Neodiprion lecontei: one gene and its partner. The protein of the gene in region 2 interacts with the protein of the main gene of each other region in a pairwise test. Links are inferred from orthologs where the notes say so. Each region holds a gene or a part of one and is shown on either strand. Other genes may lie near its edges. The genes, in order: G2/mitotic-specific cyclin-B3 and cyclin-dependent kinase 1.

Evidence for each region.
Region 1: the proteins of cyclin-dependent kinase 1 (region 2) and G2/mitotic-specific cyclin-B3 interact in binary tests that used the Drosophila melanogaster proteins (3 or more experiments, as listed by UniProt). The link is inferred for Neodiprion lecontei from reciprocal best matches to the Drosophila melanogaster genes Cdk1 and CycB3.

What each region holds. Positions count from the first base shown.
Region 1 is NC_060261.1:33,959,989-33,966,994, reverse strand, and holds G2/mitotic-specific cyclin-B3, read right to left. Parts: upstream 4,937-7,006; 5' UTR 4,837-4,936; intron 4,610-4,836; exon of another isoform or gene 4,430-4,609; intron 3,507-4,429; 5' UTR 3,462-3,506; coding exon 3,252-3,461; intron 3,125-3,251; coding exon 2,798-3,124; intron 2,472-2,797; coding exon 2,250-2,471; intron 2,113-2,249; coding exon 1,882-2,112; intron 1,799-1,881; coding exon 1,643-1,798; intron 1,512-1,642; coding exon 1,231-1,511; intron 1,116-1,230; coding exon 1,064-1,115; 3' UTR 575-1,063; downstream 1-574. Other genes in the region: peroxisome biogenesis factor 1, read left to right, coding at 5,005-5,097, 5,386-5,601, 5,706-5,820, 6,028-6,994. UniProt on the Drosophila melanogaster protein: Cyclins are positive regulatory subunits of the cyclin-dependent kinases (CDKs), and thereby play an essential role in the control of the cell cycle, notably via their destruction during cell division.
Region 2 is NC_060262.1:35,222,638-35,228,048, reverse strand, and holds cyclin-dependent kinase 1, read right to left. Parts: upstream 3,495-5,411; 5' UTR 3,297-3,494; coding exon 3,239-3,296; intron 2,473-3,238; coding exon 2,177-2,472; intron 2,076-2,176; coding exon 1,756-2,075; intron 1,556-1,755; coding exon 1,312-1,555; 3' UTR 509-1,311; downstream 1-508. UniProt on the Drosophila melanogaster protein: Plays a key role in the control of the eukaryotic cell cycle. Required for entry into S-phase and mitosis.

The DNA of each region.
Region 1 (7,006 bases), on a different chromosome or scaffold from region 2:
TAATATTGGGATTCTTATCACAGATTGCAAAGACATTCGAAGAACCGACTGAGAGCTGGCAAACATTTATGGTTTGACAAAGAAACAAATAGTAATGGATTGGTTATATTTTGTTTATTCAACTCTTTTTTGTGGTCGAATTTCATTACGCCCCGAGCAATCCAATAAGCACAAGGCACAAGAGGATTAGAGCTAATTTCCGTAAAATTCTTCAAAATTTACCTTCTACCCTGGTGGTATCATTTTTACCATCGCATCAGTCTGTCAGTCTCACCATCATACCACTGGAACGAAATTCCATAACAATGCGCCACACATGAAAATTTTCTGCATTTTCAACCTTGTTCCGATAATTCTAACTTTACTATTTAGATGCGCTGCGAACGATAACGCTACCTTTATTATTCTTATTAATAATAATTATCATTTATCTAATATATTAAAATATAAATGTAGAAAAAAATATAAAATTAATCGGAATATATATGATAGCGTAATAAGACCGATATTAAAGTGAAAAAAATTATTCTAACCGTCAGAAATGAGTCATTAGTTCTGAGTAAAAGCGTGTGGCGCTAAAAGAAATTTTTGAAACAAGAGGGACAAAAAAAAAAAAAACTAAAATAATTCATAAATTCTGAGACTGTAGAGTATCATTGAAATATTAGTCATGTACAAATAGTTTAGGAATAAAAGGGTAATACTTAGTGTACATTGGTACAAACTCGGCTTCTACTTTGATAAAAATGTGCATATAAATTGTAAAAACTAGTTTCAAGTTTCTGCGTCAAATATTTCTAGAGTTAAAATGTAAAATATACGAAAAAAAAAATTGGAAGAAAAAAGGTCGTAGCTAGGTAGTAATACTTAAAGTTTTTCGGTTTCAATTCTTTTCTCTTGCTTTAAACGGGGTACAGTTAGATTTTTAATGTTCAGGTTTGAAAAACTTTTGGAATCCTAACCAAAATTGTAAGGTTGGTATTTCAGTTAGGTTTATTTTATTTAAAAAAAACCAGTCAAGCCCCGTATCTAACTACTAATAATACGGTACTTACAAGTCTAACTATATATCTAATACTTCTTTCAGTGGCACTTTTGCGACTTCGAAAAATATTCTGAAAGAAAAAAAGCGGCATTGTTAGCACATTGTTCGATTAGTTATTGTAGAGATTAAAAGTTTATTAGGCAATGAGCTGGTAACGTTAGGCAGATTATATTAATTCGATTTACTTATGACTGTATTTGTTGCGAACTGTTGCTAATGCTTCTTTAGGTTTCCGGTGTAATCCCTGATTTAGCGCCAGCACGATTTCTTTAATCTCCTCAAGTTTGAGTCCCGTATAGTATTCTAAGGTTGCATTCCAGCCACCTAGATCCTTCATTTGCAAAGCAATGAATAGAGCAGCGGCTGCCATTTTACTATCGCTGTACATTATTGTTGCGTAATCCATTAACGAATACTCCAAGATGTAACGAGCCAGGGTTAGAGTTGGCATAGAAACTTTGGCACACTGTTCATTAAACCAATAGTGAATTAACAATTCATCATTTTTGAATTACTCGTAAGTTGAAAATCAGGTTCTAATAGTCCTTCAAATCAGTTTTTCATTCTTACATGTTATAATAGTGCGTAAGTACAAACCCTGGCGTATCTTCTGAGGAACCTGTAAGAAAGTGGAATGCCTAGGTCGAAGTCGATAATTTTCAAAACGTTAATTTCCATCCTAGTTAGTTCCCGACGCGTGTATGCACCATCACAGATGTACAAAAAGTCGTCGACCATAGGCGGAATTCTTTCCTGTTGATAGTGAAATTTGAGTAACTAGAACTAATAATTGGTTTCCGAACTGTGTTTTCAGTAGGAAATATCATAAGACTCACGTCAAATTTGCTTGCGATGAATAAACTTGCTGCACCTAAAAGTTGGAGCGTTTCTTTTCCAACCGTCACTTTAGTGAGGTACAAGTCTACTAATTTAACAGCTAGATACAAAGTCTCGTGGTTTAATTCAAAGGATTCTTGGACCTCAACCATCCAATCGACAAGTAAAGATCTCATCCATCGAGATAAACAAACTTGTCTTTCCATATAATCGCCAATCAGGAACAATGGCTAATAGAAATAGAACAGATAACCTGTTTATGCTAAGCTAAAATACATAAATAATGAATTGAACATTCCGCAAACTGTTTCATCTGAATTTAATTTACACTTGAGGTTAGTCAAAAGTAGAACAATTAAACATTTACCTCCCGGCTTTTGAGGTAATTAAACGTGTCCATTGCATAATAAGAAACTTGGTAAGGATCAGTCCAATTTTCAGCATCAAAATCCCACTGTACACCAGTGGGTAATTTGTTAGTAGGCGGAGCATCTAGGCGAGTTGCAATCGAAAGAGTAGGTATTTTTGGATCAGGTGAAGCCTGCACCTTCTCTTCCGGCTCTTTTGCAGTACCATCTTTGGCATCAACCTTTTATGGAGAGAAGATAATGCTAGAGATTACATATCAGGGTGGTCTTTAATTAGAATATGAATGAATTTTTCTGCAGCTATTCTTCAAATCAATGTAAAACAATTTCCAGCTCATTTTGAAATTGCAGCTTTCTATCTTAACCATCATCCTTCCTTCTACAGAGCTAAATCTTTCCAGTAAAATTTGTTGGCGAATAAATTCTGCAATACTTAAGTGAGAACCATTATTGTGTACTCGAATTGTTCGAAATCGCTTCTTCTCACACATGTAACAAATTTTTTGATTTTAAAATTACTTTCTATCCAACAGATTTTTTTATTTACCCTAGAATTACTCTGTGTTGATTTTTTCAAACTCTCGTCAGCGTCTTCTAAAGCACTCACATACAGCGAACTATCTTCAGACTTTTCCAGATCTAAACTGCGCCTTGCATTTGCTATTTTAGCTGGGACTTCTACTTTATCATCTTCCTTTTTTTTGGCAGGTACACGTGCAGGTGGTTTCGGCTTGATTGGCACAACATTGTCTGGCTTAGCTAAAATCTTTCCTAGGGACTGTAGGGAAGTCGTGGATGGCTTGTTTTGGGTCGCTGCTTTCTTTGTGATCTTTTTAACATCATGGACTTGTGCGCCTAAGGACTTGCCGATGGCCTGTAAATGTCGACAAATGCGTTTTATTCATCAGTTTATTGATTATTTAGTTTTAATTAAGTTTAGTTGTCTAGTTTGGTACTGATACTTTATTCGACTGTTTGGAATCATTGCTTTTCTGACTTACATTGGTGATATTTCCTAATGCTGATCTTTTTGTTGTCTTTTCTTTCAAGGGAGAGGCATCTGCTTTGCGTTTGATCCTTGGGTCTTTTGCAACTGTCAGGTGCTTAGTGTTAGCTATTGAATTGTGACTTCTAGTTGTGATTCCTTTACGTATTACTATGCCAGTGGTATTCTGTTTGTTTTGGCCATTTAACACTTTGGTTGGAGCCATTTTCAGTAATACGTAAAGGGACAGTCAACAGTTCCCCACAAAGTTCTGCAAACGAATTATTTAAATCAAACACCAAATGGTAAACCTATTTTTTGCCGTACATGAAGGGAAATTTCTCATTATATTACACTATGTACAATACATAGCATTTAAGTTTCTCTGTTTTAGTAACCATTACGTAAGTTTTTGTTACGAGGTTTTTTTTCATACTAGTTTGTCAAGTTTGTGATCTTTTTTTCTATCAGTTGAAAGAAGTATTTCGGATGTATTGACTTGTCACGTGATTACGCGACGCTATAACCTCAAAAGTAAATGAATTTTAACGTTAACAAGTAAATGCGAAGAACTGATTCTTATGCACTAGAATTGAACTGTTTGCATGCAGATTTGACAGTATTCTTAAACTTGACGATTAGCTTTAGTGAAAGTAAACAGTAGCGTTTTTATTTTATAAAATAATGCGATATTTTCTTTGGAATAAGTCAAAATTAAGCGTAAGACAACTCCTCTAGTTACATTGTAATAGACTTTGTCATATTTTTTGTAAGAATTTTAGGTACGGATGATGTAAGGTGAAGTGATTATCTAGCGACATTTTGGACTAGAGATCACGGTACATTCGAGTCAGAAATCAAAGGAATTTCAAAATTTTTCGAGGGTAACGAACGAACGTCCCGTTGGTCGTTGGCATCGCCCAAAATGCCAGAGAATTTATTTACCGCGAATATTTCGATATAATTGTGTAATTATCAAGGCAATCTTCATAAGGACTCGATGGGATGAAGCACGGGTGATAAAATAAGTGAAAAACATGAAATGCTAATAAGGATATGATCTACAATTTGGCCAAAGGATCCACCATTTTTATCGTGACCTTAAAAGCGAAAGATATAATTTGGGGAATTATTTCTCCACATTTCTTCACATATATTCGTTACAAGGATCAAGAGAAGCCACGAGACTTTTACCTTAATATTTATTATTCAATTCCTTGTGCCTGGGTCGTGTAATTTTTTTCATTTAACAAAAATCCGTCAACAACTGGTACGTTACTTTACTACTTTCCGCTCGTCTTGACTCAAGAGCAACTGAAGTTGACGCTGGTTCAAAATATCACAGTTAGAGATTTCGCGACATACGATTGGTTCAATGATTTTTCCACGGTCACGGCCCCTAGCGACGACCCATGCAACTAGCAATCACTTGACCAAATGGCTGCCGAGCATGACCGTTTTACTTCTCAGTACGTCTTGGTACGTCTGTTGACCGATTAAAACGAAGACCCGAAATCTTTCTAATTCATTTTGAGGTGGAGAAAACCGTCAACGTACATATGAATTACGTAATTATTCATTTTCAGAACTATTTGCATTACCGGCGGCGAATGAAGAAGCGTTGCTTGTCGCGCAACAAGTAGCCGCGGTGACCTTGCGTCTCGGGTGCCAACGATACGATCGTATTTTGTTTGTAAGCAAGGTCCACCACGGCCGCGGCTATTCGACGTTGAAAGACGTCATTATTTTCATCAATACGTGCGGAAAAAATGCAGGCTGAACGATTCACAGTTAAATATATCACCGTCCAAAATTGCTTCGTTTATTTACCAGCTACTTGGCAACGACAGCTTGCGACAAAGGTATGATCCAATTCATAGTTGTTCAAACCTGACTGATTGTTATTACGCGTCCATTTTGTTTTGATATCTTATCAATATGCGCATTTACTGTTTTCTGTAACTGTAAATTCCATTCATTATGTAACTGGACGTATATCTTCTTACCCTCTTCGAGTATCTAACTGCAGTCGTTCACAATACATTAACTCAATTTTCCATAGATGGCGACATAAGTCAATAATGTCAGCCCTGAACCAAAATCGGGCCTATTCAAATGAATCTACATGAGTATTGTTGATTGAATTACAGCCTAATGCCATCAGGATCACGCATCATGATCGCGACTTTTATTTCTCTTGGCACTCTCAGCCGAGTCCAGATCAATCCTTAAGGCTCAGTGCAACCTTTGCAAGAGCCTTGGGCATTCAAGAAGGAGATAATGTTCTTGCATCGTCTGAAGCTCATCCATCTGCTGTATCTAACGTCACTGTCATGCCAAAAAGCTCCGAAGACTGGGAAATTGTGGTGAGTTTTTCATTATTTTATATAGAATTTTAAACCTTAATGATGAATGTATAAACTTATTTTTTATTTATTTGGTTATCTGTTACATAGATTTGGTTTTACAGGAATTGCAGAGCAACAAAATACAAGAGTCATTACTAAACCAGATCAACATTGTCGCGGTGGACCAGCAAATTGTTGTTTGGATATCAAAGTTCCTGTCTGTTGAATTACATGTTGGTGAGTATATTTAATAATACACAAATGTTTACCCACAAGCCGATAGTGAGTTTAAAATGGTCAATCTGTCGCCAACAGGGATCTTGATCATAATTCCTAAGATCCAAAGTTTCCCTTTATCGAAATACCAATTCATTTCAAAAACTCTTACACAAGGACTAAGAAAAAAGTAATTTTTCACTTTTAAGGCTCACTTTTTCTCTTCAGAGTCTGTGGAACCTAGGTACAGGTATGGAAAGCTTCAACCGTTCACAGAGATAACAGTATCATTTCCGAAAAAGGAAGTAAAAGAGGATAAAAAAGAAAATTCATCTGATAGTCTTTGGGATACGTTTAAAAATGTGGTGCCGAATTTGTTTTCTGACACAGATAAGAAAAAAGAGGCAAATATTGAAGAATCTGTTGAGAATATAGTGGGAAAATATTCAAAGAAGAATATCATTCAGACTTTCCGGGTCCTACCTGTAAAAAGGATAGAAGACACAGAGGCCATGAGCACTGTAGATTCCTTATTGAGACAGCCGTACAATATTTTTATTAATCAACGTTTTTTACCAAAGAATTTCCATTCTGGAGAGATTTATTGCCGAGTTAAGAAAGTGAGGCAGAATACGCAATTCGTTAAAGCAACTAACACGAATTATTTGCGAACTAACAATACTGCAGGACTTAATTTAATAACAGAAGTAGTCGCCAAAATATTTGTACTGGAAGAGGTTTTGAAAAAGTGTTCATACTGTATTGACAGAGAATATTTTGCCAATAATTTGCTTTATAAAAGCGTCTACGTGTCGGAAAATCTCAGGCATAATCTCAAGTTAAAAGTGGGTGCTAAAGTCACATTAGAATTGATTGAATACTCAGTGCAGCCTGTTACGGCTATAGAATTATTTCCACAAAACAATCCAGTTACTTTGGAAGATTTTGAAAATTTCCTCAAAGAACAATCGATATATGATAAAGTGCTTATTAATTCATTATCCGTGCTGAGTTTGAGGAATGATAAGTCTTGCATTGTTCAATTCTGCCCACTCCCAACTTCCTATGCTTTGATAGATTTGTATGATTTGAAAACTACTCCTGTACATGTAAAGGATGTCGTATTTAGTGTGGAAAACGAGATGGAAAGCTTACAGCATCCAGAGAGTGTATGCTTGCAAACTATCTCAATGCGGTAAGTTGCCAT
Region 2 (5,411 bases):
TGGCTAAGCTAATTTCTTTCTCAGTCCACGGTTGACAATCGCTTGTGTTTCCCGTAAAACGTTGTCACATACGCACCGAATAAGCTTTCGGAAAAATAAATTTTCAAGTGAACATAATCAATCCTGATCAAATTGTTAGTTTGGGTTTGATCAACTGATAATTACAATAATGTTATGTGTTATTTTTTTTCTTTTTTTCAATTATTACCTGACGTTTGCACGCTTTTCATGTAGTCCACAACTTCCACTCAGTTATTCACAAATTATTTAACAGTTGAAAAAAACTCTTTCCAATTAAATAGTCATTGGATGAGCAAATCACTAACTGAATTTGCGTTAAATTACCTCATTTTTCATACATATCTTTCAAACACCGTAATTTGTGCGTAGGTTTGCGATATAGAATCTTAGAAAGCAAGCAGGAAATTTATACTTGGTTGTTAATTGGCATCCGAATGGCGTAATTTGCAGCTGATTCGGGATATACAAATATCATTAAAACGCGAAGTTAATTTTGATCCTTATTTTATATTCTCGTCGTAAAGAAAGTACAAAAATATTCTTATTTCGAATGAATACTAATTTTGACCACTTAGTTCGGTCTTCTACTTCGTTTTTTTTTTTACTCTTCCCAACTTATGTACATATTTGTAGTCTCAAGATCTACGTCTGCTTTAGTTCCATTCAATAAAATTATCTTACATTTATAAATATTATTGAATGGAACATCGAAATCTTGATACCACAAAGTGTTTTCCTTTCATTCCGTTTCGTTCATAGTTTTTCGACATTTTTATTCTCTACTTCATTTAACTTGTTCATCTAAAATATAATTATCTTTAAAATTAGACCAACTCAGTGAATGACAGAAGATATAATACTAAAAACTTAGATATCTTACTGGTTATGGAATACGTAATAGTATAGTACTTAATAGCGCTCTCTAGATGGTTCCTACACATAGAACGATTGGTATTTGTAACCAACGGAGAACTTTATTCAGGTACACACTATGTCTGGTTTCGTTTCATTCTTCATCTTGTCATGCGAAAACTAAAAATGTTACGGTTAAAAAGACAAAATTAAAATCATATAAACAAAAACAAAAACGAAAACAAAAAAAAGAACTGCGATGATTGAATTAAACTTTAAGTGGTATTATAGACTCAGCATGCAGCTGAAATTATGTGAGATTTGAAGATAATTAAATAGGAACCATCTGATCATGCGGAACCTGCTTAAACGCCGGCGTAATGTGAGAAACTTGCAAACTATGAAGTAAAGTATATAATTTCGTTGTTTCACCACTGTTCACTTTGACGGTAATTTCGACTTGTCCAAGTCGTTAAAATAGGGGTGTTGCAGAGCTGCTCTTGCAGATATTCTATACACAGGATCATACACCAGCATCGCTTGCAAAAGATCAAGACCTTCTTCATCTATCACTTTGACTTGGGATGCCAGATTGTTGGATGTCCAGTTCGGGAATGTCGCTTTGTAGTCAGGAAGCTGTGTCACGCCTGGCCATATCTCCTCAGTCGGGGTTCGCAGTACTCTAGGGAAATTACCGAAAAAAGTATAGTCGCAACGTATGATCCACCTTGAAATGATCCAAAAAGGCAAAACCGATTTTATTATTTTGTTCCTAACTCTGGTTGCCAACATAAGGCATGTGTTTCATTCAGAGTAAAAGGCTACTAAATCACAGTATAAAATCAATGTTCAATCGGCTTCCTAGGTATGTGATTGTTTTACCGAAATATCCTAAAGAGCTGGTCTATCTCGCTGTCGCCTTGGAAGAGGGGCTTTTTTGTGGCCATTTCAGCGAAGATACAGCCAATGCTCCAAAGATCGATCGGGCAGGAATACCTCGTTGATCCTAAGAGAACTTCAGGAGCCCTATACCAGAGAGTTACCACCTCGTGGGTATACACTCTCACAGGAATACCAAATGCTCGACCCAATCCAAAGTCTGCCACCTTGATTACTCCATTTTTGTCAATAAGAAGATTCTGGGGCTTCAAGTCACGGTGCAATACACGTCTTTGATGACAGAACAGGATTGCTTGAGTTATCTGATGAGAAGAGAACACGGAACAGTGCAAGTTACATTTCACATGTTAGTTCTCATTTATTACGCTCGACGCAAGGAATGTATAAAAAAAAAAATACAGACCTGATACAAGTAGGATTTGACAACTTCAGGTTCCATCAATCTTCCATTGCCTAAAGTATCCATATATTTTTTCAAATCCATCGATAAGAATTCAAATATTAAATAAAGTCGTGATTCTTCCATCAAAACATCTTCCAGACTAACAATGTTGGGATGCTGTAGCTCCTTTAGCAAAGATATTTCTCGGATTGCAGTCGAAGGAACTCCCTCATCGTCGCTTTCTAGTCGAATTTTTTTCATTGCCACAATTTGTCCGGTTTTCTTATTTTTTCCTTTGTAGACAACACCATAGGTTCCTGATAATTTAAATTGATATAATCTTTTTCTGAAATGATTCTAACGTTAATTCTAGGCTTTATGTAAAAGGGGCTGAAGTTAGTAACGTTAATGTAACAAAACACCAGGAGAAAAATTATCACTCTACAATTTCCGAATTACTTTCAAGGAATTTGGTTCTCGAAATATATGTAAATATGTTTTGTATATCTTGGTTTACCAAATTTCAAATGATCTTAAAGGTGCGAAGTAACGATTTCTCTGAAACATGCATTGTTATAGTAACATTACTAACTTCATCGTTATTCATGTAAACAGCAGTATTAATAACAGTATTTCAGAACAGCGGGTGCAGATTTACAAACGAAATATAAACTACACGATTCCATTTAAACTGTATTTCAAGAAAGCAGGGTGTTGCTCCTATCTTTAAGCATGATGAATGAAAAATACCGGTTTTCGTGCAACTTTAAATCAAAAGCATACACAAAAGCAAACTACGTGCCAAAAGCGCGTCACATGCTATGTAAAATTACACAGCATAAATAATTGATTGAATAGTAGCATTTCAAAGTGTTTAGTAACTGGAACAAAATTCATAACTGGGAAGAGGACCTCGAATCAAACAATATGAAATGGGTTTTGAATGCTTTTCTGACTTAGAAACGGTTGACTTGCGAGTAACAAGGACAGATAATTGAAAGTAAAATAAGGGTAAACCATAATATGGTAAAGTTTCGTCAAGTTTCAGCTACACTTGGAATGATGCACAACAAATCGTATCACCTTCGCCGATTTTTTCGATTTTCACAAAGTTTTCCATGCTAATTTTTTGATCAATCATTCACGCAGTTGACGCGGGCACTCTGAACCGTGAAATGCTTTGTAAAATTGCCTAATCGCTACTGTATTTTCGAGATTTAACACGCCTGCAAACAAAAAGTAACGTCCGAATTCAAATGCGGCAACGGAGTCGTCGCCATATTGGTAAACACGTGTAAACAAGATTATCGGTAAAGTTATACGGTGGTATTAGCCAATTGGAACGCGTGTCTCATGTGACAGCTGCTTCCTGCGCCGGCGCATTGGCGGAGCGCGGGACATTCTCTCAGAGTAAAAAAGAACGTAAAATGATTCCTGCTTGGTAAGCCCGCACGTTTGCTTCCGTGTAACCAGGGTAAGCTGACCGACACATACAAAGTTAGGAAAATAAATCATGTATATGTGCATGGGTACGAATGGCACGAATGCGGCAGCAGGCCGTGCCATCCCGTTCCCTTTTACTTCGTACGGACACGTAACATCTGTCAGCGCTTAGTGCTATCCACGGAGAGTATAGAAACGAGTGAAACGTACGTTTACACTAGTTTACTTCCCAATACTCGTGAACCTAACGCGCGCAATTGATTTTGCATTCCATACAACCACACACGACAAGATCGGCGCGCAAAAATAATTGTCAACGGTCCTCAACCAGGTTAGATTCGATAAACATCGTGTTTTAGACAATCCAATTTTCTGTGATTTTTACAAACTGGAATGAAACTTTTGATTTCCTCATATTTTTTTAAATTCCGTAACAATTACTGGCTTTACATTATCATGTAAACACAGCAAAAAGTGTCCATTGTCATATTCATATTGCAATTTAAAAGAAATTTTCAACATCACAGTAAACGGTCTTGTGAGCTAATCGTGTTTTACAAGTTTTTCTCTCTCCTGGGCAATGAAGCCATTTTGTCCTTTGGGAAATGGTACAGTTTGCAATTACGGTCGTGTTGTCATTGGGAATGATTTGGGAAGATAACGAAAACACCAGCAATTGCAGCCAATTCTCGCTCACGCTACTGATATGTGAATCCTAACATCTTGCGAGCATCAATTTCCCTACATTTTCCCAGTAATCACGCAATTGCGATTATACATCTTGTTCTTTCCAAAAGTTTGGAGCATTGTTGCTGCTCAGGAGAAGAAAAATGTAAAATGTAACTTCATGAATTTCCTTGCAAATCTGGGAGGTCCGATATGCATTTAATTGTAAGTGAAGCTGTGAAATTGGGAAAAATGAGAAAGCCTTAGACTATTCACAAGTGTTCTTTCGTGAATATTTCATTCCGAAAAGATGAAACTGATACAGCAACAACTGGTCTTGCTATTACACGTAGTCAAATGCCAGAGGCGATAGAATTAATTGGAGAGGTGAGGCAGTGCATATTGCTACATTGTAGAACTATGAAGAATTTTTTGAAACACATGAAATGAGGAACTGAGACTTGTTCTGTACTGCATTGCAGCTTGTCTCATCAAACAATAAGTCACTGAAAACACTAAGTGACTGCACCATGTGCTTGCCACTGAAGTAATTGAATCCAGCACTCTTGAATCTTGAACCTTCCCCAGTATGGAACTTACAAGAAATGGCAGGAGTGTAAAAATTACCTATTAGTTCGAAATTTGCTTGAAAAAAAGTTGAAAAATCGTTCTAGTTTAAAATGTGTCGAAAATTTGTATCACTTTTTCTTATTCGCCTTTACTTCTTTCTGAATATAGAATTTTATTTACAAGATCCCAAGTATAGAATTTCACACTAGCAAAATTTTAAGCATGATTCATCCCATACCATGTATACGTAAGTCAGCCGGCTTGCAGAGAATGAATTAATTTTAAACTTAATCTAAGTTGGAAAAATTCATGCGTGAAATAATTGTAGTTTCTTTTCTACAGCCACTGCATTTTAGTATTACTGTACAATGTAGGTATAAGTCGTACTTACAAAATATTTTTCGTAACATCGTAGAATAGGACTTCTTGTATCAAGATATATTTCGTCAAAATGGAAAAAAAAAAAGGAACATCAAAAAGAAAAAACACTTACAAAGGAAGCGCTTTGTCACTTTCGACAAAAATTGGTTTATAATTGACTATTTTTAGTGTAGCAAAATTACATTTTTACACAACT